2 linked regions of the Caenorhabditis elegans genome follow. The protein of the gene in region 1 interacts with the protein of each later gene in a pairwise test. Each region holds a gene or a part of one and is shown on either strand. Other genes may lie near its edges. The genes, in order: trx-2 and pold-2.

Evidence for each region.
Region 2: the proteins of trx-2 (region 1) and pold-2 interact in a two-hybrid assay, tested with the Caenorhabditis elegans proteins (one large-scale study listed by BioGRID).

What each region holds. Positions count from the first base shown.
Region 1 is NC_003283.11:10,305,943-10,320,929, reverse strand, and holds trx-2 (putative thioredoxin-2), read right to left. Parts: upstream 6,260-14,987; coding exon 6,107-6,259; intron 6,060-6,106; coding exon 5,970-6,059; intron 5,915-5,969; coding exon 5,720-5,914; 3' UTR 5,636-5,719; downstream 1-5,635. Other genes in the region: srdf-3 (Polyprenal reductase), read right to left, coding at 13-212; gna-1 (Glucosamine 6-phosphate N-acetyltransferase), read left to right, coding at 779-1,276; Putative pseudouridine synthase B0024.11, read left to right, coding at 1,396-1,504, 1,555-1,969, 2,015-2,301, 2,345-2,455, 2,501-2,951, 2,996-3,356; asps-1 (TUG ubiquitin-like domain-containing protein), read left to right, coding at 3,536-3,946, 3,995-4,338, 4,391-4,717, 4,874-4,975, 5,030-5,567; Receptor-type guanylate cyclase gcy-6, read left to right, coding at 6,877-6,930, 6,984-7,049, 7,090-7,199, 7,364-7,473, 7,526-7,658, 7,834-8,060, 8,108-8,239, 8,286-8,398 and 11 more; Crescerin-like protein che-12, read left to right, coding at 13,576-13,692, 13,925-14,095, 14,249-14,389, 14,442-14,522, 14,572-14,674, 14,790-14,987. UniProt on the Caenorhabditis elegans protein: Participates in various redox reactions through the reversible oxidation of its active center dithiol to a disulfide and catalyzes dithiol-disulfide exchange reactions.
Region 2 is NC_003282.8:11,553,629-11,571,210, forward strand, and holds pold-2 (putative DNA polymerase delta small subunit), read right to left. Parts: upstream 8,206-17,582; 5' UTR 8,205-8,205; coding exon 8,126-8,204; intron 8,081-8,125; coding exon 7,991-8,080; intron 7,946-7,990; coding exon 7,512-7,945; intron 6,552-7,511; coding exon 5,998-6,551; intron 5,469-5,997; coding exon 5,270-5,468; 3' UTR 5,109-5,269; downstream 1-5,108. Other genes in the region: sec-24.1 (Protein transport protein Sec24C), read right to left, coding at 8,804-9,031, 9,078-9,959, 10,010-10,470, 10,521-10,752, 10,805-11,059, 11,111-12,057, 12,101-12,208, 12,253-12,420 and 1 more; srgp-1 (Rho-GAP domain-containing protein), read left to right, coding at 16,915-17,083. UniProt on the Caenorhabditis elegans protein: The function of the small subunit is not yet clear.

The sequences.
Region 1 (14,987 bases):
AACTGTACTCACTTTTTAGGTACAGATATTTTTTCTACCAAAGAGTTATCTTCTTGTTGATCAGCAGCTTTTCCATATGTAGTTAGTGCAGGTATCAATCGACAAACGTGAGGACATATGAGAGTAAAACAACATGAAATGGCAAGTCCAAGCGTAGATACTAACAGATAAAGGGGCAGTGCTTGGCGCACTTCCCAAAGTCTATCTAACATTCTGAAATGAATAATTGTATAGAAAAATCAATGGACACAGAAAAATAAAGTCAAAAACGGAAACAAGAAGAAAAGAGCGGAAATGAGTAATGGAAACATTTTTGGACGAGGGAGGAGCCGACGCAGAGTTTCTTTTTCTGAGGAGAGAATACGCCAAACGAGTGCAGCTGCAAGTGTGTAAGTGCGCGATGAGAAAGTAAATAGAAAAACCAATGGCAGATACTGGGCAGTTGGAGTTTTGAAAAAAAAATAAAGAAAAAAAGAAGTAAAACGTTTTCTTTTGATTTCACAGGTCGTTCAATGTAAAATGTTTCTAAAATGTTTGTCCGAGAGGAGTACATGGCCGAGAGAACGCGTGGCCGTGGCCTAGTTCTAGGAACAATTTTAAACGTTGATTTATTTATTTTTTGCGTCGATTTGGAACAAATCTCCGCATCGTTCGAGTTATAATTTCTCTCCTTATTTTAATTTTCATTTTTTCAAATATTTAGCAAGCTGCGCTAGATTCCTCCTAAGTTTTTCTCATTCGTTCGAACGATTTGTCATCACTTTTCTTCAGAGAAAATATGTCTCACATTTTTGATGCGTCTGTGTTAGCTCCACACATTCCTTCGAATCTTCCTGACAATTTTAAAGTTCGTCCCTTGGCAAAAGACGATTTCTCGAAAGGATATGTTGATCTTCTGAGTCAGTTGACTTCGGTCGGAAATCTTGATCAGGAAGCATTTGAAAAGCGATTTGAGGCGATGAGGACCTCGGTCCCCAATTATCATATAGTCGTCATCGAAGATTCCAATTCTCAAAAAGTTGTTGCATCTGCCAGTTTGGTTGTCGAAATGAAGTTCATTCACGGGGCAGGAAGTCGCGGAAGGGTTGAAGATGTTGTCGTGGATACTGAAATGCGTCGTCAAAAATTAGGAGCCGTTCTTTTGAAGACTCTTGTTTCTCTTGGAAAGTCTCTCGGAGTTTACAAAATTTCTCTCGAGTGTGTTCCTGAACTTCTCCCATTCTACTCACAATTCGGGTTCCAGGACGATTGCAATTTTATGACTCAGCGCTTCTAAATTTCACACGTTAATTCATTGATTATTCTGCTAATGGGGTCTTGTAATATGGTTTTTACGCATAATTTGTTTTATCGTTTGGTCTGATTTCTTTCATGTATTTATTGAATAAAGTTTAGATGGAAACCGAATTTGGATTGACCGAGTATGCCAGTGAGCATACAATCACTCCTGTGCCCTGCCTACTGAAAGAAATGTACAGTGACTTCATCGTTCAAGAAATTTTAGGTTATTTAATCAAACTCAATTAATGTTACTAGAATTAATTTTATTTTCAGCCGACCACACAGTTTTGGCCATTCCATCGCCAGATGTTGTCCTAGAAAGTACTGGGTCCAAAAAAGAAGACATTGAGATCGAAGAGTGTGTTGCTAAGCCAGATTGCATCTCAGAAGAGACATTAGCTGCATTAAATGACCGATTCTCTACGAAAGGAGATCCCGTTCTTGTAAAAGTTGACGATTTGAGCAAGGAAGATCGAAAAAGCATTCATCATTTCATTAGAGAGCGGTATGCTGGAGTTTTAATCACCGAAACGAAGGAAGATGGAATTCTGGTATCTCATGGTCATACGAAGAGCAGTCGGAAGCGAAAACTATGGGATGAAAAAGTTCCAAAGGAATGTCACTTCACCATTTGCAAAGAAAATAAAGAGACTAGCTTTGCTTGCCAACTTATTGCAAAGTTTTTAAAGTAAGTTGTAATTTAGAAAAAAACTTTTTAAAAAGTAATTTTCAGTGTGGGCCCGAACAATATCAGAACTCACGGAATTAAAGACAAGAGAGCTGTGACTTCACAGAGAGTTAGTGTTACTAAAGTGCATGAGCGAACGATTCTGGATTTGAATTCGAAACTCCGCGGTATTCGAGTCTTTGGATGTGAGTATAAAGATGACCCAGTTCAAATGGGAGCTCACTGGGGAAATCGATTCAGCATTGTACTAAGAAGCTTGCCTGACGATTCGGAACAATTGCTCCATCAAAGACTGGAAACATTCCAAAATACGGGATTCATCAACTATTTCGGTGAGTATCGGTGGTGAGTATCAATAGACCTCATAACCTTCAGGTACTCAACGATTTGGTTCACGAAGTTCTACGACAGCCGAAATCGGATTAGCTATTGTGAAAAGAGACTGGGAGAAAGCAGTCAAAATGATCATGACTAATGCTATGCCCGGTTAGCGCTAAAACATTAAAAAAAAAGAAAATTAATATTTTTTAGATCATCTGGGATACGGGTCAGTTGGCTACGCCGCTAAGTGCTTTTCCCAAACTGGGGATGCTAGAAAAGCATTTTCCAAGCTGAAAGGAGCTCAGGCTTTTGCTACAGTCGAAGGAAATATTTTGAAGTGTCTCTCGAAAGGAGGAACATGGCAAAATTGTATTACTGAAGCAATTCCGATTCAAAGCCGCAGTCTTTATGTCCACGCTTATCAAAGCCTCATTTGGAATAAAGTAGCTTCTCGTCGAGTTAAGGAATATGGTACTCGAGTACATGAAAGTGACGTTGGAGCCAATGGATTCTCTCTTGGCGAGCATGCAACTCATTATGATATCCATATACCACTACCGGGAGAAAACTTGCCATTTGAGGGTAGTTATGGCGCTAAGTGGATCTCTGAATTGCTTGAAGAAGATGGACTCACTCAATCGAGCTTCACAGCACTAAAAGAGTAAGTTTCCTGGTCCAAGTTCAATCAATGTAATATATTTTAAGTCGGTTTTCACTTGGCGAATCATCAAGATGCTTGTTTGTTGAAGCGAAGGAGCTCAAATGGAAGTTTATTCGATATGGAAATGCACGAGATCTCTTGCAAGATGGATTACAAACACGTGCTATCCCAGAAGCAGAACAGAAAGGTCCACTTCTGGCATTGCAAATTCAGTTTAGCTTGATATCTGGATCATATGCAACTGTAGCTCTTCGTGAGGTAACTGGAAGTGATATGGGCAAGAAGGCTATGAGAGATGCTTCGTTCAAAACACGTGGTGACGATGAAAAAACTGAAGAAAATGTGTTGGAAGAAAAAGGATCCGATGATGCGAATGAGCTGAATCTTGTTTCAGAGGACCAATGATACAACAGTTTCAATGTTTCATTTTATTTTTATTGTTAACCTTTTTGTTATTTGTTGTGAATTTATAAAATTGCTTATGTTCGGTGAGGTGTATTTATTTAATTCTGGTTGATTTCCAACTTTTCCGTTTATTTTTTTGTAATGCCACTCTACTCTTATCAGTTCATAATATTTTGCAGATGAGTTCCTTGAACATAATCTGCCCAAATGCAAAAAGGGTTCAAATAAAAACCACTCCAATGATGCTGATGAGGCAAGTTCTCGAAGAAGCTTGTCTGAAAAGTGGTTTTGAAGTAAACAGTCATCGTCTTCAAACACAATCTCGTAAACCCATTGACTCTTCTCTTCCATTTCGACTCACCGGACTCGCCAACAATGCAACTCTCGAAATGACACAAAAGGAAGCTGTATCCGAGAATACGATTATTGAACTAGCTATTCAGACTGCTTCTGGAGCTCGCCATCAGAAGAAAGTAGGTGTAAACCAGATGCTCTTAGATGCCTTGAAAAGTTTCACGAGCGAGTTCAAAGAAGATTTAGCGACGACAATTGATGGATCCGTTCCGTGCATTGTCTACATGAATAAGCGGGTAATTTGATACATAAAGTAATTAAAACATTGAAAATTTAAATTTCAGTACACTGGTGCCGAGCTCGCTGTCAACTCTCTCTCGAGCCTTGGAGTAGCATCTGGAAAATGCCTTATTCGTCATATGAGAGTTAAACTTAGTGATCAAGAACTCGCAACAATGCAAGCGAAATTGCAAGAAGAAAACGAAAGAAAAAAGGCTCTCGACGTGAATTTTGTCAAATTGAAAGCTGAAAATGCTGAAAGAGATCGTTTGGAACGATTGCGACAAGAAGCTTTCGATAAAGACAAAGAATCTCGAGAAAAGAGAGAGCAAGAGCAATTGAGAGCTCTTATACCGGAACCTGCATCGAATATACAGGATAGTACCGTAATGGACACTACTGAGTCTCAGTAAGAATTTTAGAAACAAATAAATCATAAATTCACAAAATTTGGTTTTCAGACAACGAGATGTGCTTCAAGAGGTTCCTGAGCAGAATCCAAATTCATGGTCCTTTGACGGACCGGCGTTTTCTCGTCAAGTACCTCAAAACACAATGAGAATGGAAGAATTAAATCGTCTTCTCGAGCGCGTAGATCATTCGCTAGCTACACCTGCAGTGGAATCCAGAATGGATGCAATGGTCAACGCATTGGCAGATGGAGGAAGAATTTCACTTGCTGAAGTTCGAACGAGAGCCGATGTTGCAATGGAACAGGAGCAAGAAGAAGACCCAGTCGAAGTTTTTGCAAATCCATGCGATAGACAAGCAGTCATATACAAAAAACGGTAAATGCTCACTCTTTTTTTTTGACTTCGAAATAATATATGAAAATAGTTTTCAAAAGTTCACACGAATCAGGAAGGTAAATTAAATTCTACTAAAAATCTCAAACATTTAAATCCTTGAAATTTTAAATAGTATCACAAAACAAAACTTTTCAGAGCAAGAGTGCAAACAACTGATGAGCCAATGGAAACAGAGGAATTTTTCGAAGTTGGGATTGAAGATGTTCGTAACATGCAGAAAGATCTTCGAAAGGCTGTGTATGTTATAGAATTCCGCTTTCAACAAATATAATAATGTTCGTACGGTTTCAGTCGTGATCAAACTCAAGCAAGCTTCATTTCTAAAGAATACCTGGCAAAGAAGAATCGTCAGTTGAAATTAGAAGCCTACAAACACACTGTCATTCGTATATCGATTGGAGAACACATTCTTCAAGTGTACTTTAATACTGCCGAACAAAGCTCAAATCTTGACTTGTTTTTGAATAACGTTTTGACTAGATCTGGATGGAAACTCATGTTCACTAATCTGAAAGTGGTCACAAACGAATTGAAAAACTTTGTCGACATCGAACTCGCGCCGAAATCCACTTTGATCGCCAGTTTCGGAGGACAAACAGTGAATGCAGCAGATGTCGTACACAATGTGATCGAGGTTACTCCAGAAAAGGCAGATGCGATGTCAGCGGACTGGCTCTCGCTGAACAAAACTTTTATGCCATTCAACTCAACCGTCAATGATGACCGTAAACAGAAGAGACCTCAATTTCAATCATCTTCGTCTTCATCGCATTCGGGACCTCCTGCCAAATCCGCTATGCCAAAATGGCTGCAAACAGGAAAAAAATGATAACGTGTTTTTTACAAAGTGTAAATGTCTATACATATTGCTTCGGTGAATTTTTAATGTGATTCTTTCTTTCATAATGTTATTCCTCTAATTTAAATGAACCATTAAAAATCAACACGTTTAAATAGACATTGGCAATTTTAATACACAGTTTAAGCAGCGAGAACGTCCTCGATAAAATCGTCAAGCTGTTCGTCGTCAAGAACTCCCGAAAATCCGCTGATTTTTTCTCCGTTTTTGAATGCAAATACCGTTGGCACCGCAGAGATTCCATAATCCATTGCCAGTTCACCAGCATGATCAACGTTTATTTTGGCGAGAAGAACACTTCCTTGTCTTCCGTTTACCTGAAAGGATTTATCGTTTTTTTAAACTATTAAAGTAATTAACATATGTATGTACCTTTTCCTCGAGTCTTGGTCCCAAAGCCTGGCACGGTCCGCACCATTCTGCGTGGAAATCAACAATGACTGGAACTGATGATTGAATTACCTGTGAAACAAAAAATGATATATTACACTTAATTATCTATTATCTACCTTTTCTGTGAAATCTTCAACAGAATCAATGTCGAAAACAGAAGCGCCGTGAGAAAAATGACGTAATTGTGTCATTTTTGAAGTCGCCAGAGTTGGTTTGACGGAGATGGCTGATCGAGCAAAGAATGATCCAAGCTTAAGTGCTTTCTGCATCTGATAAAAACATTATTTATTGATGTGAACCTTAAAACAAATAATTTCAAATTGAATTATTAAAGTTAAATTTAATATTAAAAACAAAAAAAATTTGTTCTAAACTAATAGAACTTTTAGGCCAGCATTTGGAAAACTCGGCCATTTACGTTTTCTGAAATAATTAAAATTATTATTCGGGCATCGGTAGACAGATAACCTGAAAAATGTTGATAAATACACTTGAACTCTGTAACAAATATATACAACCAGTTGTTGAAAAGTTCTGAGGAATTTATCAATCATTTAAATATTCAGTTTAAATGCGGAGTGCAGAACCTAGAAATGAGAAGTGCATCCTAAACACATCCGATGCATCCCAGACAATTCGTAATTTTCTTTCTGACTAATGAAGCTGATTAATACGCGTATAGGACTGAACAAATATATTATCTCTGACTTGTTCGTCGAAGCCCTTCAACAAGTTTGCTCATGATTATGAGCCGCCTGGAATATATCCGAAAACTAATAAAAACTAAAGAAAACAAGATAGAATATTGTTTTTATAACACTTTTTGTATATATTAAAACCTCAGAAGACTGCCCACTTATTCATTTTCATAACTCCTTTCCAGTGAATGATCGGAGTTTATCTACGTTCTGTAATTTTTCCTTTATTATTTGTGATCCAGGTACCCGGAATTTCAAGCTTGCGAGCGTTCGTTTCTTAAAATATGATATTCAGACTATATGTCAACCTCCTGGGAACGTATTTCATCTGGGATTTCTGCATTGCGATGTACTTGAAAACGTGAAAAGCATAGCGTTATTCATAAAATATTTGATTTCAGAATGTGGAAGGATCCACTACATATATCAATTATCGAACATCTGCAAGTGCAGCGAGTATTGCAATTGATAAAATTAAACGAGAAGGATTACTTCTTGGATATGACTTCAAGTAAGAAAATAAAATGAAGTTTGTAGGGATAGTAACAATAAATGACCCTTCTTACCAAAAATTTAAAACTAAATGGGAACTTATGACATTGATCCAGGTTTATTTCTGGAGGTTAAATCTAAATTTAAAAAGTCCCGAATGAAATTGAAATGATAACAATTTAGATTTACAATTCTCTATGATCAATGTGATGAAAATATTGCTGCTGGAAATGCAATTAAACTATTCGCAGAGCACAACGTTGATGTATTATTTGGTCCTACTACCAATAATGGTAAATATTCAATAAATTGATGGATCTTCATTTTTGGAAAACTGAGTTTCAGCTGCAATGCCAGTTTTCATTCTTGCCACCTACTACAATATCCCACTTATTACTTGGGGGATAACTTCATCAGCAACATTGGATGATGAATCCAGGTTTCCAACAGCTGGAATGTTATCAATTGGATCTAGAAGGTTGGATACATTTCAAAAATCACAACATTTATTTAAGAGATTTAATTATATTGTTTTGACAGCTATAACAGTATAACAGTATAAAGACAGTTAGAATATATATTTGGATTTAGTTTTAGTTTCGATTGGAATATTACACCACTTTGAGATCTACTACGATAAACCAATTTTTCAGTCTTGCTGTAACATTTCGTGAAGTAATGAAAGAGTATGGATGGGATCAATTTGTATTTGCATATTCTTTGGAAATGAATGATGAAAAATGTGAAACATTGAGAGATGATTTTCAAAATATGGTAGCCTATTATGGTGATATAGTTTTATCGTATGCAGTTCAAATAATGGATCACAGTGAAGAAGGGCTTCTTGCAATTTTAAAAGATGTTTCTACGAGAGGAAGAAGTATCTTTCATTTCTGAAATTATTATCTGAAGTAATTTATTTTTCAGTAATTGTTCCATGTTTTCATGAAGGAAATTCACGAGGTCTTCATCGAAGATGGATGTTAGTAGCGGCAAGAAATGGATTTGTTAATGATGAATACGTTTATATTTTCCCTTCACTTCGATCTCGAGGATATGGTAAACTTTACTGTACTCTCTGAAAATCTTCAGTTAAAATTTTCAGCTGTACCACAAGCTGATGGTACATTTAGATATCCATGGACTGAAGCTACAGGCCCACAACCAGGTGACCAAGAAGCTCTTTTGGGTTTCCAAAAGTCAATATTTATTGTTGATGTTAGTTCAATAATTATCAAGTATTCATTTCAAAAACATGATATTTCAGATGCAAGGTCAAGGAAACGTTGGATCAAATTATACACAGTTTGAACATGAAATTATTCAACGAATGAAAGAGCCACCATATAATTGTACAGATGCGTGCGCGTCTCCTGAATATCAAACTGTCAGATTTAAAACAGAATCGGCTCAAATTCAAAGAATATGTTTTAGGCTGCTACGTATGCTGGTCAGTTACACGATTCAGTATACATCTATGGAGTTGTAATGGATCAAATAATGAAAACTGTTCCTAATCAGTATAAAAATGGAACTGCATTCCCACGAAAAATGGCAGGAGTATTTAATGGTACGAAAGTGTATTTAATGGAATATAGTTTATTCAAAACTGAATCTGATGAATCTGATATAATCTGATAATTGTATTTCAGGAGTCGGTGGTACAGTAGCCATAGATGAAGGTGGAGGACTTCAGCCAACTCTATTTGTTCTAACACTTGATTCAAACAATAATTCTTCACTTATTATGACTGTTGATGTGGATCAACAGGAGGCAGTAGTTACAAAACATTATACAAATGAAGCAACTGCTTTATGGTCTCATAGAAAAGGAATCCGACCACCTGATCAACCAATTTGTGGATACACGGGTTCATTGTGCCCTGCAAACGTATTTTTTCAATATATTGGGTGGTTTATTGCAGCCATAATTATAATTTTCTTTACTATCATGGGAGCTATTCTCGCATTTATTTACCTTTGCCAGTAAGTTCCTTTTGATATCACACACCTTTATAAACCCCTTATTTAAGTGCAAAACAACAAGAAGTTGAGCGACAAAATGCACTTTGGCAAATACCATTCAAATCAATGATGACTGTTACAAAGAAAGGAAAAGGAGAACATAGTATGAGAAGTATCAGCAGTGTTCCCAGTACTATATCTTCAACAAGATCATCAACATTATCAGAAGTTGGAGAAACCAGAAATTATTTGTTTTTCCAAATCCAAAATGATGTTGAAATGGAACGAGTAGCAGCGAAAAAACATTCAATTCGTATGGTATTCGATAATAAAACATGTGCAACAATGAGACAGGTAGTTGAGGTTTTTATATGTTGTTCATAATGAGTGACGTTTGAAGATGAGATTGATAGACCATGCCAATTTGAATAAATTCATCGGAATGAGTCTAGATGCTCCACAACTTTATTCCGTATGGAGATTCTGTTCAAGAGGATCTTTGGCTGATGTGATAAGAAAAGCTAGTATGCAAATGGATGGATTCTTTATTTATTCATTAATGAAAGATATTATCAATGGCTTAACTTGGATTCATGAGTCATCCCACGAGTTTCACGGAATGCTCACATCAAAAAATTGTTTATTAAATGACAGATGGCAGTTGAAAATCACAGATTTTGGATTAAGAATTTTCAGAACACACGATCAATACAACAAATCTGGTAAGTAATTTACAAAATTGAATTTTGAAACTGTAGTTTATTGTTGTCAAAACCAGACGAATTAAATAATATAATTTTAGATCGATTATGGACATCTCCAGAACTTTTACGAACTGATGATATATTGGGTAGTCGAGAGGGAGATATTTACAGTTTTGGAATTATAAGTGCTGAGTTAATTACCAGAAGTTCAGTTTTTGATCTCGAAAACAGGAAAGAGGATGCAGAAGGTATTTCATGAATTGAGTTGAATCCTAATAGATTTTGAGTTTAGAAATAATATACATGCTGAAAAAGGGCGGACTTCAATCTCCACGACCAAGCTTAGAACATGATGAATCAATTGAAATAAATCCTGCATTGGTATGTTTCTCTGTTTAAATTTTGATAATTATGCATTTACAGCTTCACCTAGTAAGAGACTGTTGGACAGAGAGACCTTCAGAACGTCCTGATATTAAACAAGTAGCTTCACAATTGAGAAGCATGAATACGAATAGAAATGATAATTTAATGGATCATGTATTCAATGTACTTGAATCATATGCATCAACATTAGAAGATGAAGTTGCTGAAAGAATGAAAGAATTAGTTGAAGAAAAGAAGAAAAGTGATGTTCTTCTATACCGTATGCTTCCAAGACAAGTAGCTGATAAGCTGAAACTTGGACAAACAGTTGAACCGGAAACATTTGATATTGTCACACTGTTTTTCTCAGATGTTGTTAGTTTTACAACTCTCGCAGGAAAGTGTACTCCTCTTCAAGTCGTTAATTTATTAAACGGATTGTACACAATATTCGATGGAATTATTGAACAGCACGATGTCTACAAAGTTGAAACTATTGGTGATGGATATTTTGTTGCTTCTGGTGTTCCCAGAAGGAATGGAAATGAACATACGAGAAATATTGCAAGCATGTCAATCAACTTTGTTAAATCCTTGGCGGACTTTAGCATACCTCATCTTCCAGGGGAGAAGATTAAAATTCGAGTTGGATTTCATTGTGGTTGGTAGTTTTATTTTATATGGAAGCCATATAATTTCGAATAGATATATATGAAGGAAAGAAAGGAAAATATTAGGTTGGCAAGAAAGTCATGTCCTAATTTTTTGTCATGGTGGGATGTAGATCTATTTTGGTGTGTACTCACTTCTAGTGATTAATAAGCAGACAAAAGTCTTTGTAGTAATTAACCCCTTATCCCTCTCCCTTTCTCTTAGTTCAAGTTCAATTGAGATGAATCTTCCTACTTCAATTCTTCTTCGGCATGTTCTGTTATGCATGCTCCTGGCGGACAACACACTGAATGATTCGAAAACTTTTCTGATGAAAGTTTACGATGGACATACTCCCTCGTATAAAACCATACAGAAATGGTTCAATCGTTTCGGAAAAAGCGACTTTTCGTTGATTGAAAAGGAATGCTCAAAAGACCACATGAGTTGGATTTGAATGCACTGAAAGCCAGTGTTGAATCGGATCCGTTTGAAACTACCAATGAGCTTGCAAGCAAGCTTAGGTTCTTTCATAACTCTAAAGCAGATAGCTTGAAATTGCTCGGCATGAGTAAAATTCTTGGTCGATCGTACCTCATGATTTGACCCTGGCTAACCTTAACCGCCAAGTTGATGTTTCATGTAATCTCCTCACTCTCCACGGCGGTGACCGTTGGTTGAGCCGGCTTATTACTAAACACGGAAAGTGGGTGTTGTACACTAACCATCACAGACAAGCCCAGCGGATTGCAGAAGGACAAACCCTACTGCATGTTCCGAAACTCGGCCTTCACCCAAAAAAAAAGTATGCTCTCTGTTTGGTGGGACTGGCTGGACCCCTCTACTGGGAGCTGTTACCTAAGGGTGAATTTATTACCGGAGAGACCCACTCAAGACAACTACCGAATTTTAAGAAAACAGTCGGTCCTTCAGCCTTAAAGTATAAGAAAGTATATTCCCAACATTAAAACTCTCGACCACATGTTTTAAAACAAGTGGTGCAGGAACTGACAAAATATGGATGGGTGATTCTCCCTCTACCACCAAATTTTCCTGACATTGCTCTAAGTGATTATTGGCTTTTCTCCGATCTGACTCTTGCCCTTCAAGGTATAGCTTTCAAAACAAGAGAAAATTTCAAATCTGATATCAAGCAATACTTTGAGTCCCTGCCCGCTGGATTCTACAGGCAGGGGATCCACAAGTTACCTCAACGTTGGCAGGACGTTGTTGATCATGATGGAACATATAACTGATTTCTTGTTTTAGTTCGCTTCGAGAAATAAATGATTGAAAAATAGGACAGGACTTTCTTGCCAACCTAATACATAGATTGAACATAATATCTAGACAAAATAAATGTACAGAACTATTGGAATAAAAGTTTTTTTCAGGATCCGTTGTAGCCGGTGTTGTTGGACTAACAATGCCAAGATATTGCTTATTTGGTGATGCGGTCAATACGGCAAGCCGAATGGAGAGCAACTCTAAACGTAAAATATTCCAGAAGTCCACTAACATAAGTTCTTCGTTTCATTTATTTTCAGCGGGGCAGATTCATCTTTCGGAAGAAGCAAATCAAATGTTGATGAGACTTGGTGGATTTACCACAGAGCCACGTGGCGAAGTCATAATCAAGGTTTCGAAATCTCAAGACATGAACACTGATTTCTTTTGTTTTTCTTTCAGGGAAAAGGTGTTATGGCAACGTATTGGTTGCTTAAAATGGACGAGTCAGCTGCCCCGAAAATTCTGAAGAAAAAACAAGATTAGAAATTATCTTGATATTCAGTTTTTGCTTACTATTATATGTATACATATTGTATCGTTTTATTTTAATTTTAAATATTTGAAGTTTTTGATAAAATGTTTAAAGACCGACAGTGTTTCAGAAAATAAAGTTACACTCATAAGTAATCATTTATTTTTTGGCTTTAAGCGTATCAGCTTGAAAACCAATAAAAACCGGAAATATTCAAAGCGGAAGTTCAGTTTTTGCGAACTCCCAAAATCTCATACTTTATCAATAAAGTCCCACAGAGCACACAGGAAATTGAATTTGGAATCCGAAACTTGTTTTTTAGTAAAAAACTCAGAAATTGGGTGAAGGTATTAGATTAAAAATTGCAAGCAATCACCTGTTAAATTTTAAATAACAATTAGTTTTAGGTCGATGAAATATTGCTTGTGGTGGTACGAGTTCGACATTTGAACTCAATTGTTTATCAAAAATAAAAATATATGTACATTTTAAATTCAAAAATAAGGATTTGAGCAGGCAAATAGAATATCGTAGAAAAGCTCAAGAGAAGTATTAAAAAAACGAAACTTTTCTTTCTCGTATTTTATTTCTCTTTAAACGGACACATTTATCTTATGTATTACTGAACGGACCTCGTTTAGGTCCATTTGGTCATCATAACCCTGCATACCTCGAAACTCGGCTTCTTTCCTCAACTAGTAGACTCTATACACATTTCACGCAGCGGTTGCCCAGACTACAGCTACATTGCGTTCCCCCTTCTTTCTCCTTTTCATCTTTTCACGTTGTCTTCATCGTCTGTCCACTACCACCGCCCACGGCTTATGATATCCTCACCTTTTTCTCCCACTCCCCCGTACTCTTTTCCAGTTTCTCTCCATCTTTCATCTATTGTTGATTTCAGTTTTTTTTTTTGAATTTCAGTTGGAAGCAATTGAATCTGAAATATGACATCACTGTTTGATGCATTATCAAGAAGTAATGATCGCTTACCATCTCCCAACTTTCTACCTGAGGATTTTCTTGAACTTCTCAAGAGCAATGATTTTGATACAAAACTAACGGTTAGTTTTTAAAAGATAAGAATGGAATATTGATAGTAAAAGAGGAGGGAAAGATTTACATGTGACTGATTCTATCATACTTTAAAATAATATAATTTCAAATAAATTTGAGAATTTTCCAATGGTTTGAATGTTATTAATTTAGTTTATTGTTTTTCAAAGAGCGCTTTGAAAGTAGAAATAAAAACTCACACTTTTTACGAGGTTTAGGCTATTATCATACATATTACAGACTTTGATTCGAGCCGCAACGATAGCAAAACGGGAAGAAGATTGGTTTCATAAATTTCAAAAGAAAGGAGAATTATTTAAATGTATTGACAAGATTATCTGTGATGATAGATGGGAACTTCAACATCAATGTATCAAGTTTTTGGTCGAAGCTATGCCGACATTTGGAAGTGTGAGTTTGAAAATTCGTTTTTAAACGTATTGCCCATCTTCAAAGAAAAATGATAAATTCCAGTTTTTACTAATAAAATAACCTAACTGGTAACTCGGATGGAATTTAAAATATTTTGAATATTTTGGATATTAAAATGCGCTTATATTTCAGGCCACAGAATATTGCATGTGCTTTGTGATGCCAAATTTAATTCCAAAATTGGTGAGCAATAAGGTGACAGTTCGGAAGATAACACATCAGGCAATTGCCACGTTTCTTCGCCTGAAACCTGAAGCATTACAATCCTTTTTGGTTAGTATTTTTGCTTAAAGATGTTAAAACAATTAAAATAATTCAATTAAAGAAAATGCTTTCCAACTTTATGCCCAATTGCAACTCAAAATCTGAATTGATCACAGAACTACACCACATTCTTATTCCGGAGGTATTTTAGGTGTTATTATTCTTATTTTTCAGTATCTCTTATTTTTCAGTTGGTTAAATCAAATTGGACATGCCTGGTGGAAAATTTCACAACAGAATCAAATATTCAAGGATGTGAAGATCAAGCTGGAGTACTCATGAAAAAGTTGCATTGTAAGATCTTGTGAAAAAGTTATCAAATTTTTGGGCTAGAGTTATTGGAAAATAAGAATAGTTTTAAATATCCGCCAATTTTGAAAGAATTTTAGCACAATATTTTATTTTTCAGATTTCATTGGCAACGAATTTTGGCAAAAGATAATAACCAATCTATCACCGGAAAAGCGTGAAGTTCTTGAACAAATAACTGCAAATGTTCAAGTAGAACACACAGAATCAAAAGCAGGAAGCGGTGTTCTACGAGCATCAGCTAAACCTCAATCTGGCGGTGAACGACGTCTTCGATTCGGAATAGTTCCAAGCTTAG
Region 2 (17,582 bases), on another chromosome or scaffold:
GCTCGCATAGTCGGGTTGAAATTAGTGTTTTTCTCCTCTCGTTCTCTCGTGATGCCCACTCGAGTAGACAACGAGTTGAATCTCTATACAATTAGTAAGAACTGGGTCGAAGGTCACCTTAACGGTCATTTTTAGTTAATCAAAATGTAGTAATATATCTTTAAAATATTAAAAATAATAACAAACATGATCCTGCCAGCTGAGCACCGTCTGTAAACCATGTAAGCAGATTTCACTCAGTCAAAACGAAATCACAACGAATGCAAAAAATACCCCAGGAAGAACTGGATCAAATGTCCATATTTATTGAATTAGATAGAAAGTTGTCTTTATTTCTAAAGATTCCTAAAGATTATAATAATGAAAAAGAATAAAACAAACGTACTTTTCACTCATTTACTAGTTAGTTTTCAGGCTGTTCTTCTACATTCTAAGCGCTATTGGAGAGCATAAGATTTTGTCGGTTGACAACAAGAGTTGAGGCTGATTTTATCTCGGTAGGTCTCGGAGGTCTTCATTTTCTAGCTGCCCTGCATGTTGTGCACATTCTAAGCATATTCCGCGCACAATCTGAGCGGATTAAAAACAAATGTGTTAAACCACTCGGAATGTGCGCGGAGTTTGCGCATATGCCTACCGAGCAAGACGACGTTCTGGGCAAGAAGAAGCACAACTGGTCCAAAGAAGACCCCACAATGGTTCAATCACAATCAATTATTGCAATCACAACCCACTGTCAAAAATGTCAAAAATGATTTTATTGAGAAAGAGAAAAAAAGCGAATTGGGGAAAATGTTAAATCTATAATTTATTTCATTACAAACTCAAATGCAGATAAAGTACAACAAATTAATCAAATTAATCATGGACTTAACTCAAACAAAGTAATGAGTTCATCCCTTACAGATTTTACAATAGTAGACTTAGTCTCAAGTTTACGGATCTCGTCATTGAAAAGTCCTTGTGTGAATGTAAAAATAAACGATTCTCTGTCTGTATTTTGTTCCACGAATTTTTTCATAGATACCAGAACCCAAAAAATTGGACCATCTCTTTTTGATAACGAAACGATTTTTCGAAATTTGGTGCGAAGTGAATAATTTGCAAGATATTCTCTGATTTGATCAGTTAGATGAGTTGGAACACGTTCCAAAATTAATTGATTTGCTGAGTCACAGAAAGGAAGTTCAACTTGATTTTTATCTGCATTTGCTACAAGGAATGTAAGAATTGTCCATACATAATATCCTCGATCATCATTCCATTTGTTGAGCATTCTTCTGAAAATTATAAAAATCACATATGGAACTGGACAATAGACAACTTTAGCTTATTAATCAGCGCGGATTTTCATTTGAAAATTAAAATAAATGTAGCCAAATGAACTTACTCTAAAAATACGTATGTGCAATCCGCAAAGAAAATCTTTAGGTCTTTGTATTCTAGTCTATCGCATATAGCGAGTAATACGGTGAGTATTTTTATGTGGAATAACTCGTTATCAAACATTTCGATATACCCAATCAGAATTCCGATTCCACCATTTTTCACAATTTCAATGCAGAACTCTTTCCAACAAGTGAGGTGTTCAAGAATTCGAATAGCATCAAAACACCAATGAATAGTTTGAAAACCGGCAATGTGCCATCGAAAACTTAATTCCAATATTTCCATTAGTCGAGCAGCATTCACTCCCACATTTAGAAGATCGCCGGGTTCACTATCTCTGACTAGCGTGACAAGAACATGAAGTGCTCGGGTCTGAAATCCATCATAGACTCCAGTTGTTGTTAGGAATTTCATGGCAGTCTTGCAAATATTGTCACAATCAAAAGAATACACATAAGATGCTAGTGAATCTATAGTATTCCAAGCCATAATATTGATTTCTCGACCATGCTCCGTATCCATTTTCGGCAGAAACATGACAGAGTTTACTAGAGAAATTACTAATGTTGAAACTTCACAACTGTTCAGTTGATGAATGTAATACCTGAAATTGAAATAGTTAAAATACTTGTCAAAACTTCTTTTTTTGAAATTTTCCTTTAATGGATTTAGTGGTTTAAAATTTTGTGAAAAACAGGGTTAGCGTATTTTTGGTGGAGTATTGTCAGTATCGAAATATCTCAAAACCACTCCTATGCAGAGTGCTAAGATGTTCAGATATCATAATAAAAATTTCCAAAACATTTTAAAAATGTTATTATGTACAATTAAAAAATAGTAGTTCGTTATAATTTATCATAAGTCTGAACCAAAAACTATTTTCGACGAGATTTGTGATTTGATTTCGGCTTCATTGTTTGTATTTCAAGATTCTAAAGGCTCTAACCTGCATCAATGCTTGAAATTACACCAAAAAATACGTTTTTTTCGAAAATTTTGCCAATCTACTAAAACGTTGATTGGAAGTTTCAACAATCTTGAAATTTTTGAGGTTTCGTAATGCGATATTTAATTTTAATGTATTCTGAAAAATGCTTAACTGGCGCTCGACTACAGCTGGTTTTTCCGGATTTCGGGGGATTTTTAGGATTTTCAAGGCAAAGTTTTTTGTTTAAATACTAGAAATCCGATTTGCCAACCCTGTTTTCAAAATGCTGAACTATATCTCACGTTGCAATTTTTATCAAGAATTGTGCTCCAAAGTACTGAAGCATTGAGGTTGAAGACGTTCTCATTGCTCGAATAATAAGGTCTAAAATCCAAGATGCATTAAAATGCTCATAGTATTCATGAATCCATCCATTTAAAAACATTAAGCACCAATCTAATATGAATGATCTATGTGAGTTCAACTGATTAGTGAGAAATTCAAGAAGTGAGCAAAGACTAGATGGATTCCGAATATTAATATTTTAACTCGTTGACTCTTCTAAATCTGTACCTGAAAATCAAAAAATATGTTTTAGATAACTGTAGATTCAAGTAAAATCCTACCCAGGGCTACAAGTTCACAGAGGCTTTTATGAGATTTTTGAAAATTCTTCAAAAAGTTCTGATTCATATCAGTTCCAGTGCAATTTAAATATCTTAACTCTGGGAGTAACATTCCACAGTTTAAATACAATTCGATGATTCTTGTAACAGCATTGTTTCTGAAAACATATTCCAAAGTGATTATCTAAATCTGAAAAAAAAAACTAACGTATGTCTCGAGACATCTAGAGCTCTTAAATTCTTCAAACTGAATAAATCAATCAAATCGAAATGATGTTCAAAATCCAGATTCCGGATACATAGAATTTGTAGATTTTTTAAATGTGAGATTCCGTTGAGATTTTTGATATTTGCGTCACTGATGTCCAATGAGCATAAATTGGTGAAATTATGGCAAAGTTGAATGAACTTATCAGAATCTAGGTTAGTGTAACTTATAACGAAATGCATGAGATTCGGAAGCATCAAACCAATCTGAAACAACAAAATGAGGGTTAGATTTTTGGTCAAACTTCAGAAAATGTTTGAAGCCAATAGGGATTTTAGAACTAATTAAAGTCAGAAATTCCCCAAATATCTTAAAAAGACCCTCCAAAAAATTTAGGTTTAAAAAATTTAGAGTCACAGTTTTGGCATAATAAAATTCCAATTTTCTAGCAGATGTAGATTTTTGACGTAGATTTTTGAATAGTTTTGATTATTCCTGCAGGTTCAAAATTCTAGAACTTTCTATCGCAGATTATTGCAGCAAATGTAAAATTAAAAATTGGCTGAAATTAGCATTTGTGCGGTCGATTTTTCAACGTTTTGCTCTTTTGCCCTCAATTTCTGAGCATTTAGAATGAAATTGTAGTTACATAGGTTTTTTGGTATGCTGAATCCCATTCCAGCATTAGTTTCCCCCAGAAAAGTTCGAAAATGTCTGAAACCCCAAAAATTAGGGGGTTTCCCATAGCAGTTGGGCGCACTGTATTATGCAATTTATTAAACTGAGTTTTGAACACTTTTTGGCTGTGAATTAAAAAATTTCAAAAATGATTCAAAAGGTTTTATATGGTATTTCAAAAATTTAGCACTATTCAGTCACTAACAATAAACTATGAACATAAATTACCTCTTGTATCCATAAATTTGAAGATGATTGATGACCGGTTATATCTAAGTTTTGAAGTTTCAGTCGACACTCTTCATTCAATAATTCTCTCAAAAATTTGAAAATGTCAACTTTCATATTATCTGCAACATTATTACTCATCTGTTGATATAATAAACTTTCAAAAAACTTACTTTCATCATCTAAAAACCATTCACGGACATTAATCAAATGCCCTAAAATAAGGGTATCAAGATGTTGCTCTCTGAGCATTCGAAATGTCTTGAAATCTAACAAAGTATAAGTGAAATCAATTTTGGATATTTGAAATTTCAGACGTATTTGTTCTGTTGCTCTATGTGTCCAACTCGTCTCGTTTCTTGTTCGATCCTTTGATAAAATATAACTGGAGCTCCGCATTTTTCTGAGATGGCAGTAAATGACATTACTCGATTTTGCATCAAGAATATAATTCATTTTATTGTACTTTCCTGAAATTTGTATAGTTTATTGAAGAATTAAAATAAAATAAAACATACCACGTTCAATATAGTCAGCAACTTTATAGGCAGTCAACTCCAACAAAGAGCTCACCATTTTTCTGGATAGAAATTTGGCAGACTGACTGTATAACTGACTATAGGGTTCTGCAACGCCTAATGAGAACAACGGAGAGTCATTACACACTATCGACAGGTGTGAACGCTCAAAATTACTTTATTGGCTCTCATCTATTGTCTCTCATGGGAGGGCGGTTGACACCTGGAAATGTAATTTTCGGTCATTAGACTTTTTGTGGTAATAAGGTTTTTAAATCTCGTTAAAGGTGGTGTAGTCGAATTTGAGACTGTGCTTAAAAACATTCTCTATGCTCGTACAAGTCGATATGTGAAAGCGAAACATCACAAAAATTTCGCTAAATGAAGTTATGAGCCTTCAAAGTGCCGAAAAAAATCTCGCCGTCCATCTAATTTGAATTTCGCGCGCAAATGAGCGCCACCTCGTGTGTACTCCTCTCAGACAATCAAATAATTAATTTCCTGATTTTCGGCAATTTTAGGCGATTTTTCGTACTTTAATGAGCCTATCCTCGTTTTTTATTGGAAATTAACGTTTAAAGATACAATAAATCGTATTTGGTAAAATATTTAACGTAAAACAGTACAAAAAATGGAGTAATAACTGGATAATTCAACAAAATGTGAATTTTGAATGTGAACACGCATAAAATAATTAGAACTGATGATCAAAGTTTTGCCACTTCAGGGAAAGATCAGATAAGTTGAGAAAGCAGGCGACACGAGTTTTGGAGAATTTGGGCAGGCAAACAACAAGGCAATTTGATCCATCAATTGGAATATGACGGAACTCGGCGTGAGGTTGATTTCCACAAATGATCACATGCGGTGTGATGTCCATGATCAGAGGATCTCTGAAAAATAATTGTTTTGAAACATTCTCTGTATAGGTAATAAATGTTCTCTATCAATAGAAAAGTACTGTACTAAATCAATTTTTTAAAACTTAAAACTAGGGACCTTAGGGTGTTCGTTTTTCGATTTTTTTTTTAGAAAATCGAAAAACAAAAATTTTTCGATTTTTGGAAAGTCGAAAAATTTCTTTTATCGATTTTTGATTTTCACTGAAAAACATCGAAAAATCGAAAAAATGTCACCCTTGACTAGAGTTGGACATTTTTCTGGTTTTTTAATGTTATTTAAAGGAAAAATTGATTTTATTTGGCTTCTTTTTTGACACCAAAATACCCGAAAAAAATTTATATACTTACAGCAAACCTTATTTTTAGTGGTTTTTGATTAATTTTTCAAAAAGTATTTAGGTCTTAGGCTCCAAAAAAATTATATTTCGAAATAAATCCAATATCAACATATTTTTTAGTTTTTTTGGTTCGAAATATTTTTCGAAATTATTCTGTGCTCCAAAAAATGCACCAAACAAACCTTTCAGCCACTGGGAATGCATCAAGAGTATCTGGACAATTTGGTGCCACATGTTGCCATTTAATGATATTCTCAATAGCATCAGCTCCCGTCCATTTCAGGGAAGTACGAAGAAGCTCGCTCACGTTTTCGCCAGACATTGTCATCACACGTAGTCCATTGACTTCAAATTCATATGGATTTGTCACAAGATTCACTTTTTTATCACTCATTCCACAACGTGGAAGACAAACTCTGTGAATAGGTGGCAGTGGCCACATCGATGAGCATGGATCACCAACACCAGGAGTCACGTCGACAGTGTTAACAAGAGGTTTTTCAGCAATTGAATTAATAATTTTGTCTACAGTAATTAGTGATGCTGTTGAAGAATGTTTCTCTGCACGTGAAAGAGTAAGTGTTCGAACGACTGACTGAACATCACAACCATTTGATTTTGTTTCAACCAGTGGACCAATAACTACAAGACGATCAATCGGTGGACATTGATTCTCATTTCCAACTTGAACATTCATCCAATCAGCCATAAATTCAAGACCAGAGATTGTGAGTCGCTGAAATCATGATTTTGTAGTTTCGAGAAAACCATGGAAATATGAATCTTCTGAATGGAACTTATTCCATTTGAAAGAGCATCTTCTAAGAAGACCCCTATAAAAAATTTAGCGGCGGATGAGCACTTTGAACTGGAAAAGGTCGCTCTGAAAATTTTTCAATGCATTTTTTTTCACAACTTTCGAGGTCCGTAAAATGGCTACAAATGTGAATTTTTGTAGATTTTTGATGATTTCTAAGATGTTCACGGCCGGTAAACATTCAGATTTTGTTTTTGGGAATGTTTAAAAATTTTTGAAAAAAATCTGAAATTTCGCAATGGACATGGATTCAAAAAATCGAAAAAATTCCAAAACAAATTTTGAATGTTTGCCTGCCCCTGAAAATCTTAGAAATCATCAAAAATCTACAAAAATTCACATTTGGAGCCATTCACAGACCTCGAAAGTTGTGGAAAAATGCACTGAACATTTTTCAGGGAGACTTTTTTCCAGATCAAAGTGGTCCTCTGCTGCTAAATTTTTGTAGGGGCCTATTTAAAAGATGCTCTTTCAAATGGCATAGATTTCATTCAGAAGTCCGGGATTAAGTGGAAATACTTAGATTAAAATATCCGAGAAAAGGTGTAATTTGGTTGTTTTTCGATTTAAATTAGACAAAAAAACAGAAAACAAAAGATTATGCGCCTTTAAAGATTACTGTAGTTCCGAACTTCTGTAGATTTTCTTCGATTTTTCATCCGTTTCTTTGAAATTTATTGAAAAACATGTGAAAATGTTTTTCAAATTTTGACGAATTAATGAAAAATCTGCAACAACGAGGAGTTGGGAACTACAGTACTCTTTAAAGGCGCACTCTTTTGTATTAACAAAAATCGGTCGCTTCGAGATCGTGTACCGTAGTTTTGGAGCACAATTTTAAAGTTGGAATAGTATTCAAGTTACAGAATTAATACTCACATCGTCTTCCAAATCTCCAGTTAGATCGAGTCCACTGACGAAAGCGATAGTCCCGTCGACAGCCACTTTCTTTGGAACTTTTACAGATGGCCAAACCAAACGATTCACATGAAATACTCCTTCTTTTCCTAATTTTCCAAGAACTCCAACACAACAACCAGTTGCACACTCATCCATTGAAATATTTCCTTCCAGACGTACTGTCTGTTTATCTGATTCCAATTCGATTCGATCTTCAATGCTTCCAGCGTATCTTTTCACTTCGTCTTCTTCGGCATCTTCTTCATAATCATCATAAGCCACTTTATCCTCGTTGAGCAACGATTTCAAAATTGATGGTCTTGCAGCTATTCTCTTTACAATAACGCCGACCACGAAGATTTCCTCGTCTTGTTTAGCATCGCTCAATTGTGAATGCGTGAATTTTCCCTTGCCTGAAGATAAAAATTAAGGTTTATTAGTAATATTATAATTCTAACCAATTTCACGTTCTGCATTTTCCAAAATACGAGGTTTCAGTTCCTTCAAGCGAGCTTCGTAGACTTCAAAGTACTGTCTAGTGAACGCACCTGAAAGAAAATAACTTTTTAAAGCTTAGAGCAAAATATAAATACCTTTTTTATCTTTTTCAGTGAGAATGTATCGATCTGAGACATTCTTATAGTTTAGGATGTTGGACCAAGCGGTTTCCATTCTTAAAATAAAGAAAAAAATCAATTCAAGAAGGCAAATTTGTCAATGTTGAAATTTCGCGGCAAATTGCGTTAGAGCGCGTTAACATTACACCGAAGTGAATTTCAAAAATATAATATTCACAAAGTCAACATATTCGATTCTCAAATGTTTAATCAAAAACATTTTATTTTCATAAGACACCATCAAATTAAACACATTCGATCCCATTTCAAATCACAATAAATTATATGGACGGGGTAATAGGGGATATTTTACAAAAAAAGGAACAATAAATAGAAATCTCTAAAAGTCGCGAGAGCAACTGGAAAAGAATAAATTAGGAATCTGGGAAAAAGCAGATAAAACAAATTCTATTTTTGCACTGATAAGGTGCTAGGAAAGCTAATATCTTAATTTTTACAAACCATGCTCCATAATATTAAAAGAAAATAGTACGGCGAGAGGGAAGGAAATGAATGTGTACAAAGAAACCGGTACAAAATATTAATTCTTCCAACATTTCTAATCACAAGATTTGCTTTGGCGTGATCAAAATAATATGAAGGAAGAACAAAGGGAACAATCAAGAGAAGCAATTCTATCACAGTATCAACGACTTAGGAAATGAGATCGCGGATTTTGCGATGGATATCCACAAGGTAATCAACGTATGACATATTAGCAGGACCAGCCTTGTCTTCCACTAAAAATTTCTTCATCCATGGCTCAAGGCCGCTTTTTTCCACGACAACGAACGTTTTTCGCTCTCGGATCCCACGTGGCAAAAGTTGAATTGCACGACGAAGAGCACGTGAATGACCATTGTCTTTTTCCGGAATTGTTCCCTGAAAAATGTAATTGACTAATTGAACGTAGCAATTGATAACTTACACTCTCGGTATCAATTTGATTTGTAGCACCAACACCAAACACGTCTTGAACCCATGTCTGGGGGCATGCAGAGCCAACCCAGACAAACAGAATAACACCGTTATCAATAATATAGGCTTTCGAATTTTCCAGGAACTCAGAACTCGCTCTAACAGGTTTTGGAAGATCCTTCATTTCTTCAGTATCATTGATTTGTAGATCAGAGATTGGCATAACTCTTGGATAAATAAGAGGCATGACATTTTCAGTTCGTAGCCCACGGATCAATTCCATCTGCCACACTTTGTCGTCGACTGTCATTTCACTTCCTCCACTGATCGCATCATTTTTCAAAATAGAGTTCACATAGAGCGGCATCAATTTCAGAGATTCAGGAAGAATCAGTTGTCCAAGTGGGGCACCTTCACTACACTTCTCTCGATAGGTCGCTAGGAATTGTGCACAACGAGAAGAAAGTGATTCTCTCATTTCTGAGCTTCCCTTGTCACGATTCAATTGAACAGCTTGCTTCAACATGAATGCTGTCAATGCTTCCGGATCAGCAAGTCGGTAAACTTGGTTGTAATCAGCAGTAACTGGAAGGCATAAGTTCAAAATTCGCAAACGGCGCTGTCCAGTCATCGACGTATACAGTACAGCGGTTTGAATGAAGGAAGCTGGATCTTTCAGACTATCATCATGTTTGATTTCTGTGATGAATGCTTTGCTTTCATCCAATGTAGCCAATTCCAAATCCGTTGAGTTTTCCATGTAAAAGGAGCCAGTAAAAGTGATAGGACGAATTCCTGTAGACGTTCTTACTCTTGCCATGCAGTCGAATGCAATTTTCTTAGAAACGTGTCGTTCCAACTCATTCAACATGCGAACACCGTCTTTATCGGCCTGAAATAAAAATAAAATTAATAAAATTATTGGTTTTTCTTTAAATTTACCGAGAAATACTGAAATTTGAAAATAGATCCTCCCGTAACTGCAGAAAGCTGACCAATTGTGGCAACATCAATGAAAGCATTTGGGAAGAGGAATAAATCGACAGTAACTCCTGACTTGACACATTGCTCTCCCAACTTCGTGTATGAATCTTCTTGTGGAACCAGTGCATTCTTTTCTTTATCTGTCCCGAGAAGAGATCGATCATTTTTGGATTTCAGCTTTCCCGGTGCATCATATGTTGGTAGAACAGTTGAAAACAGAATCACTTTTCCTGCTCTGTCGGCACACTTCAAAGCGTCAAGACCGGCTTGTACGACGGGTTGAAGAATGGTTTCGGTGGTTTTCGACTGCGAAAAGAGTTTAGGAATTTCAGCCAATGCGGCACGAAGTCCAGGAAGTGCCTCGTTGTAAGGGAGAAGAAGTCCATCGACCATAGGAACAAATGGCTCTTGAACATCAGCTAAAAACAGTACATATTTAGACAAATTTTTATAAGTTTATCAAACTTACACATTACGAGCATTTTTGGAGATGCCGACGAAATGTCAAAGAAATGAACCGCCTGATCGAATGTAGCCAATCCTATACGCATAGACGACTCGAGCTGTCCAGATTCTCTTGGCAAATTTCGAAGTACTTTCTCCAGATTTTGACAAAGAATTGGAAGCATTCCGTTTGAAATAGCATTGTAGGATACATCAATCATAAATATGAAGGCCGGTTCTTTTGGCGCGATTCCATTCTAAAAATGTCACTTAGAATTTTTGAAAATTGCGATTTTTTTAATTACGTACCTTGCAGTATTGTTTTGTAGCTACGAGATCATACGCTCCAAGACAGAGTTCTGGACGCATTTCAATATCAGTTCTTCTGCCTGTATGATCGAGATGGGCGAAATAAGCATCTTCGACAGAAGTTCGAGCATGGCAAAATGGACAACGGAAGGAGCGTCCACCATCTTGGAATTCCATAAACGGACAAATGTATGCCTTACAACGCTGGCAACGAATCGGTCCTTGTGGTCCCAGATCGACGACTGGTGGTTCTTTCTGAAATTGAAAATAATTGATTATTCATTTTTGAAAAATTAAAAAAAAAACCTCATATTCAGTCAGAGATGCGAATGGCGAAATGACAACGGCGAGCGGAATCTGCGATGCTTTCAAAATGTCATTAGTCTGTGGAGCTGTGTAGAGGGTTGATCTCATAAATTTGGGGTTGCAGTTTCCTTGATCTTGAGCGAAAGAATTTGTAGAAACAAGTGGCGGCAATTCAGCGTTCGGATATCCAGTTGGGAAGATCCCGCTACGAGTCGACGAATCATCATCAATAACTTGAACAGCACTTGGCATCATATTAGGATCAAGACGTTGTTGTCGTTGCTGTGGTGGGCCGCCGGGGTATCCACCTTGCATTCCCGGCATACCTGGACCTCCTGAGGGATATCCGCCGGGACCTCCTGGGCCTGGAGCTCCTGGAGCGAATGATCCTGGCATTCCTGGTCCTCCTGGGCCTGGGGCTCCCGGGGGAAATGATCCCGGCATTCCTGGTCCTCCTTGTCCTGGAGGGAATGCTCCTGGCATCCCTGGTGCAACTGGAGCTGAGGCTCCCGGAGGAAATGCTCTTGGCATGCCTGGGCCTTGTGGAATATCTGCTGGGCCAGAGGGATATGATCCTGGAACTTGTGGACCGGGTGGAAACGAGCCCGCTGTGGGTTGTCCTGGTGGAAATCCTCCTGTGCCAGGTGGGATGAACGAATTGGGCGCTTGAGGCACTTGTGGAGCACCTGGGTAAGCGCTAGGAGCAGAAGATGGTCCACCTGGGTAGCCTTGAACATTTTGTGAAGTGGGTGCTCCAGCTTGGAACGAACTTGGAGAGCCGCCTGCCTGTGGAAAACCAGGGATTTGTGGTCGAAGCGGAGTGGGTTGATGGATCTGATGTGGTTGTGGCGGCAGATGAGCTCCTTGGTTCATTTGCGGAATTCCCGGAGTCGGAGCAGGCGCTTGTTGCATTGCTTGAAGTGGACCTGCAGGTGTGGCACTAGGAGCTAAAATAGAAGTTTTAGCTTTGCCTCTATAAACACTATTTACCTTGAACACTTTGAGGTACAGCGGCGAACTGTTGAGGAGTTTGCTGTCTCTGTACTTGTTGCAATTGCTGTGGTGGAGCTCCGGGATATCCTGCTGGCTGGTACGGATCTTAAAATTAAACTTAACGGATTAGCGAAAAAAAAGCAACTCACTTGGGGGTTGTGCTGACGGAGTTGATCTAGCTCCAATAGACATATTATTCACAGATTGTGCCAAGTGAGACGAATTTCCATTTAAGCCTCCATTTTGATACTGTCCATTTGGTTGCTGATGGGGTGGAGGAAATCCACCTGGGACTTGAGCTGGCTTTTGCGGCGCTGCTAAAACAATTGTTGTATTATGCAAATGTTCATATAAACTCACCTGGAGGGGGAAATCCGTTTGACTGAAACTGCGGCTGTTGGTTAAATTGCTGTTGAGGATATCCGGGCATTTGCCCGTTTGGTGGCGGCTGATATGACATCCTGGAACAAGTATAAAGATTATTTTATATTTTTCAAAATAAAAAAGCTAGAAATCGAGCTAGAAATTAATTAAATCCCGAAAAGAACGTTGATTTTGCTGTAAAGTTCCATGTCACAGCGCGATCCACCGTGTACGCAAACGTCGCGGTGGGCAAATCGCTGCGAGACCCAGCGTGCTGCGTCTCTTCAGGCAACAGCTGTCTCTCTTCATTTCGGCACTTTTTGAATTTTAATTTTTTGTTTTGTTGTTTTTTTTTCTTTTTTCTTTGTTTCCGTAAATGGAAATGTTGATAATTATTTAGATTACACCTAGGCGATTAAAAATTACTATTTGAATCAGGATTCTGTAGGTTTTGAATAGAATATTACCCGCTAGTACTGCTTGTTCAGTTTAATTCGGGAAATCCTTCTAAACTCCAACTAGATGTGATAATAGACCTTATTAATAATATCGATGCACGTTTTTGTGTGCTCAAAATTACAAAAATTTGGCTAAACACATTTATATTCAAAGTAAGGTTTCAAAAAAAAAAAATTTCCTCACGATATTCATTAATGAGGTTCTTATTATTTATGCTAATTGTGGTATAGATCGCCAGCTGTTTCTCAATCCCTTTCTCGTTTTCCGTATTTCGTATTCAAACCGCACCGCCCTTCTCTGTTTTTCTGGATCTCACCGTCCATTACTGGCAACAATAGGAAAGAGTTTTCTTTTATTCTGACCTCTTCCCTCCCTATTCAGTATGTTTGTACAGTTTCCATTTACATTAGTCACTCGCTCACTTTTTGACTTTTTTTTTGCAATCTTTCGGCCCACTCAAACCCTCAAGAAAATGTATCAGTTTCAACTTTGTTCCTATAAATATTGATATCAGGGTGTCTACACGTTTCACTGTTTTTTTGTATCCCGGAACATTAGTAACACAAATGACCCGATTCCAATGGCAATTAGGCGCTTCGAATCCTTTCACCGTCTGCCACTTATGGTCTCAAGGTTAAGTTATTATTGTTACTGTCAGGTACTACCCATCGGATAAAAAGACGATTGAACATCCCTCACGAATGTTTAATTTCGAACTCTATTGAATATACTTGTAAGAAATATTATTTTGTGCTTATAGTTTTTTCAAAAAATGCTTTTAAGCTTCAGTTTGACAAATAAATTCGGCTTCGTTAGCTGAATTTCCCTTGCCCTTTCACTTTTGATCAATTAGTGCAGAACGACGGATGGTTTAAATTTTACGATTCCCTAAAGACTTCATTTCCCAGGCACGATGCTAAAATAATGTAATTGTGTATCAGAAGCGAAGTGAAATCGGTAGAGAACACTTGCGTCAGGTGTCACATATCCTTTTTTGGTCCTTTTCCTTCGTTCTATTCACGTCCATTAGGTATTTATTACTTTATTAGAGCTTGTTATGACGAATGAGCCGCGGATAAACAATGCATGTTCTTTTACTTCTTTTGAGTGTGTGCCGCCCGCATCCGCCGCTCAACACATCCATTATGATGCTAATAAGTTTTATCCTTATTTTGTCGGTCATGAATTATACAAATCCGCATTTATTTTACTTACCCGATTTTTAATGACAATTTTGAGTTATGAACTTGAAAGCATTGAAATTATTTTGATCAATTTGTGGGTTTTATTTATTATTTAAATTTCAAACCCAGTATCGTTATACTGAATACGACTCGTAAAATATCATAGCATTTTTCTAATTTTTAAAATAGGTTTTTTAATCAGAGAATTTTATTGACCTAGTTTCGACATTTCCGGCTGAATTAATTGAGTTTTTGTTTTATAAATTGAAGCACAATTTATCAGTTTTTTCGCAATATTTAGAAATATTCTATTCATTTTTACTGATATATTCAGTAAATCGAGACAACACTGCTCTCAAGTTTCTCGATATTTTACAGTGACACATGGAGTTAAAGTATAAAATACTGTAGGATCAGATGTAATCGCATCATCATGAAATCCGCTTTTGAATCCCTTAGCCTCTTCAGAAGGACACTCGAAACTAATTTGGTTTTGACCCGATTCACATCGTTCTTTTATTCGTTTACTATTACTATTAGAATACCGTCCATCATCCGCTCCCTACATGTTTTCATATTGTCTCCTTCGACATTTATAATGTTTTTATTCATATGTTTTCAGTCTATTCTTTCTTTCTTTCTTTATTTCAACCTGTATTAAAGAGCATCCACGTCATCGTCTCCCCCTTTCTCTGCGTTTCCACTACTTGACCTAGTCTCTCGATTATCGCTGACAATCTCGAATTTCATCACAACATCTTCTCTTCTTCGACGCTCACCAGTTGTGGCTAGTCGATAGGCACCGGATCTCCATGTCCTTCTGCCGGTCACGCTTGACTTCTCAGCCCTCCACCATGTTCATGGATTCAGTGATGGGAATTGGAATAGCTTCATAGATTTTCTTTCCGGACCGGTCTTTTTTGGAGATTCTTCTTCATTCGGGAAGAACATGTGTCTAACCACCTACGTCTCTCTAGTCTTGACCGCTCTATCGCTCCAATCCGTGTTTACAGACCTTGGAAAGGCTCGGCGGAGCGCGCACGCACCTCTAGTCGTCGAATGCGCTTGTTAATTACGGCAAACATACGTTTCACACTTTATTTTTCTCTTTCTCGACGCACATTTCGAATTTCTATATGGTATTGCAAAATGCAAATAAATATATAGACTGTACTGTATTGCCTATCTCGCATTTTTCATGTTCTTTTCGTTTCCCATAAGAGTACATTAGCCGTGTAAGGAGGATTAGTGTAGGGATATTACGACGGCCACTACGAGAAGGTGCCAATTGGAACCTTGTTCTTCCCAAGTGGACGAGACAATGAGACCGATGAACGTCATCATTACATAACATTCTTATTCCTTCTTCATTGGAATACACTTTCTTTAATTTTAAATATTTATGTACTCATGAGACTATATAATCCATTCTGAGCTTATTAATTCTAAAATTTTTATATAAAAAATATTCCCAGTGCGCTATTCATTTCTTTATGTTGTCAGAAAAAAGTTATTCTTGTCTCTTGTGTCCGGCAGTGTCCGGCAGCGCCCTTGTTTGTCGGAAAGAGAAAACTAAAATAAAAGTTTTCCTCTCTTTTTCAAGAAGCCCAAGGCGTTTTTCACTTTCAATCGTTCCTTTCCTGCTTCGTCTTCCAAAAAAAAGCATGAATTTTTTGGAATAGCCGAAAGGCTTTAGAGACCGAGTCAAGATTGATGGCATCCTTTTGCCAGTCAGCTCCAAAACCAATATCCGTTATTTGGGATGTTTTTCTTCATTTCTCATTCATCAGGTATATGTTAGGTGCCGATTGAATGTTGTCGTGGAAGAGGAATATGATGTTGATGGACAATAAAGATAACATTGTCCTGGTCTTCCCCTCTCCTGTTGCCTCATAGTAATACTTTTACATAATCTCGGATGAATAAACATTTGTCCGTTCCATTTATGTTTTCTTCTTCTTCTTCTCGAAAATAGATTCGTTTCTATTGAAAGGGTCAATATTTAATCCATAGTTAATCTTCTATTGAGGAATTACTTTTCTTGAAGAAAAGAAGAGCAACGAATGTCGGTTTACTTCTAACTTGATATTTTTAAGCTTGTTATAAATATCAATTCATATTTATACTTTTTTGTTAAAAAATTATTTCAGGTAACTATGCATCTACGGGAGCCCCTCAAATATGTATGTAAAATATTAATTGTTTGCGCCCTAGTGGCTTTGTTTTCAAAAAAAAAAGACGATGACTTTAGCAAAAACGAAATCAAATACATATGCTTAATTCAGTCCATCTGCTTCACTTTATGTTGATGTCTATTCTCTTTTTGCAATTCCTATTATTTTTCTGTCGTTCCTCTTGTCCTGAAACCGTATTGTTACATGCCGTCCTCGGTGTTTCTTTCCACTGTTTTTCTGAAAGCTACGTCCACCAAACCCTTGTTCACTTTTTTTTTCTATTTTTCGCCAGCCACACGTTGATTTATGTGAAGTAGCAGTAAGGGGGCAAACGCGGGCTTTACCATCTGCCAAGCTAGTTACTTTTTTCGTCCCGCTCCTTGCGCTTTTTGCTTGCCCATCTCTTTTTTTGTGCTTTCTCAAACTAACTCTAGCCACTCAACTCTTATAAATCAATCAAACAAATTCTATAAATTGTCCTCCTTTTCTCCTTGCCTATCCTTTGTTTTTTTCAAACAATCCGTGTTTCTTCCATACTTTCCCCTTCAACCCGATATCATTCATTCAATTTATAATTTTCTTTTCCAGAATTTCACCCAAACCACTTGCTTCACCCGTGCCGACCCCAAACATGACGACGTCTTCGTCTGAAGGTGGGGCCGGTGGCCAGCACGAGGAAACTTCGATGACGTTAACTTCATCAACATCAGCAGACAGAAGATGCTCACAGGACGTGAGAAAACATTCACAGCACAAACAAGAAAAGGCGATTGTACACGATTTGGAGTGTGCTGCTAAAGGTGAGATTTTTTGAAATGTTGGAATCGTAATCTTTTCTTTTGGTAACTTCGAGAATTTTGCAACAAAAAAAATTAAAAAACCTTCCGTATTACCCAGACACAAAACTTTGTGATTTTCGAGCCAAAATACGGTAACGGGTCTCAACACGACAATTTTTTTTTGAAAAATACGAAGAGGAAATTTAATTAATTCTCTAAGTTTTTCTAACAATTTGTTAAAAATTTATGGATTTTATTTGAGTTTGAGAATACAGTAGTTTTTAAAGCACACTTTTTCGAAAATTCAACCAAAATTTATCGTGTCGAGACCGGGAGCCATATTTTTGGCGCAAAATTTCGCGTTTGAGTATCAAAACTGAAAAACTAAAAAATAGTTCGATATATTAAGCTTCAAAGTTTATTAAAAGTATTTGTCATCTTGATCTTCCCTCCAAGTTTACATTGAATTCATTTCGTTGTTTTTTCTTTCCGCTCACACCCTCTCCAACTAGTTTATGTT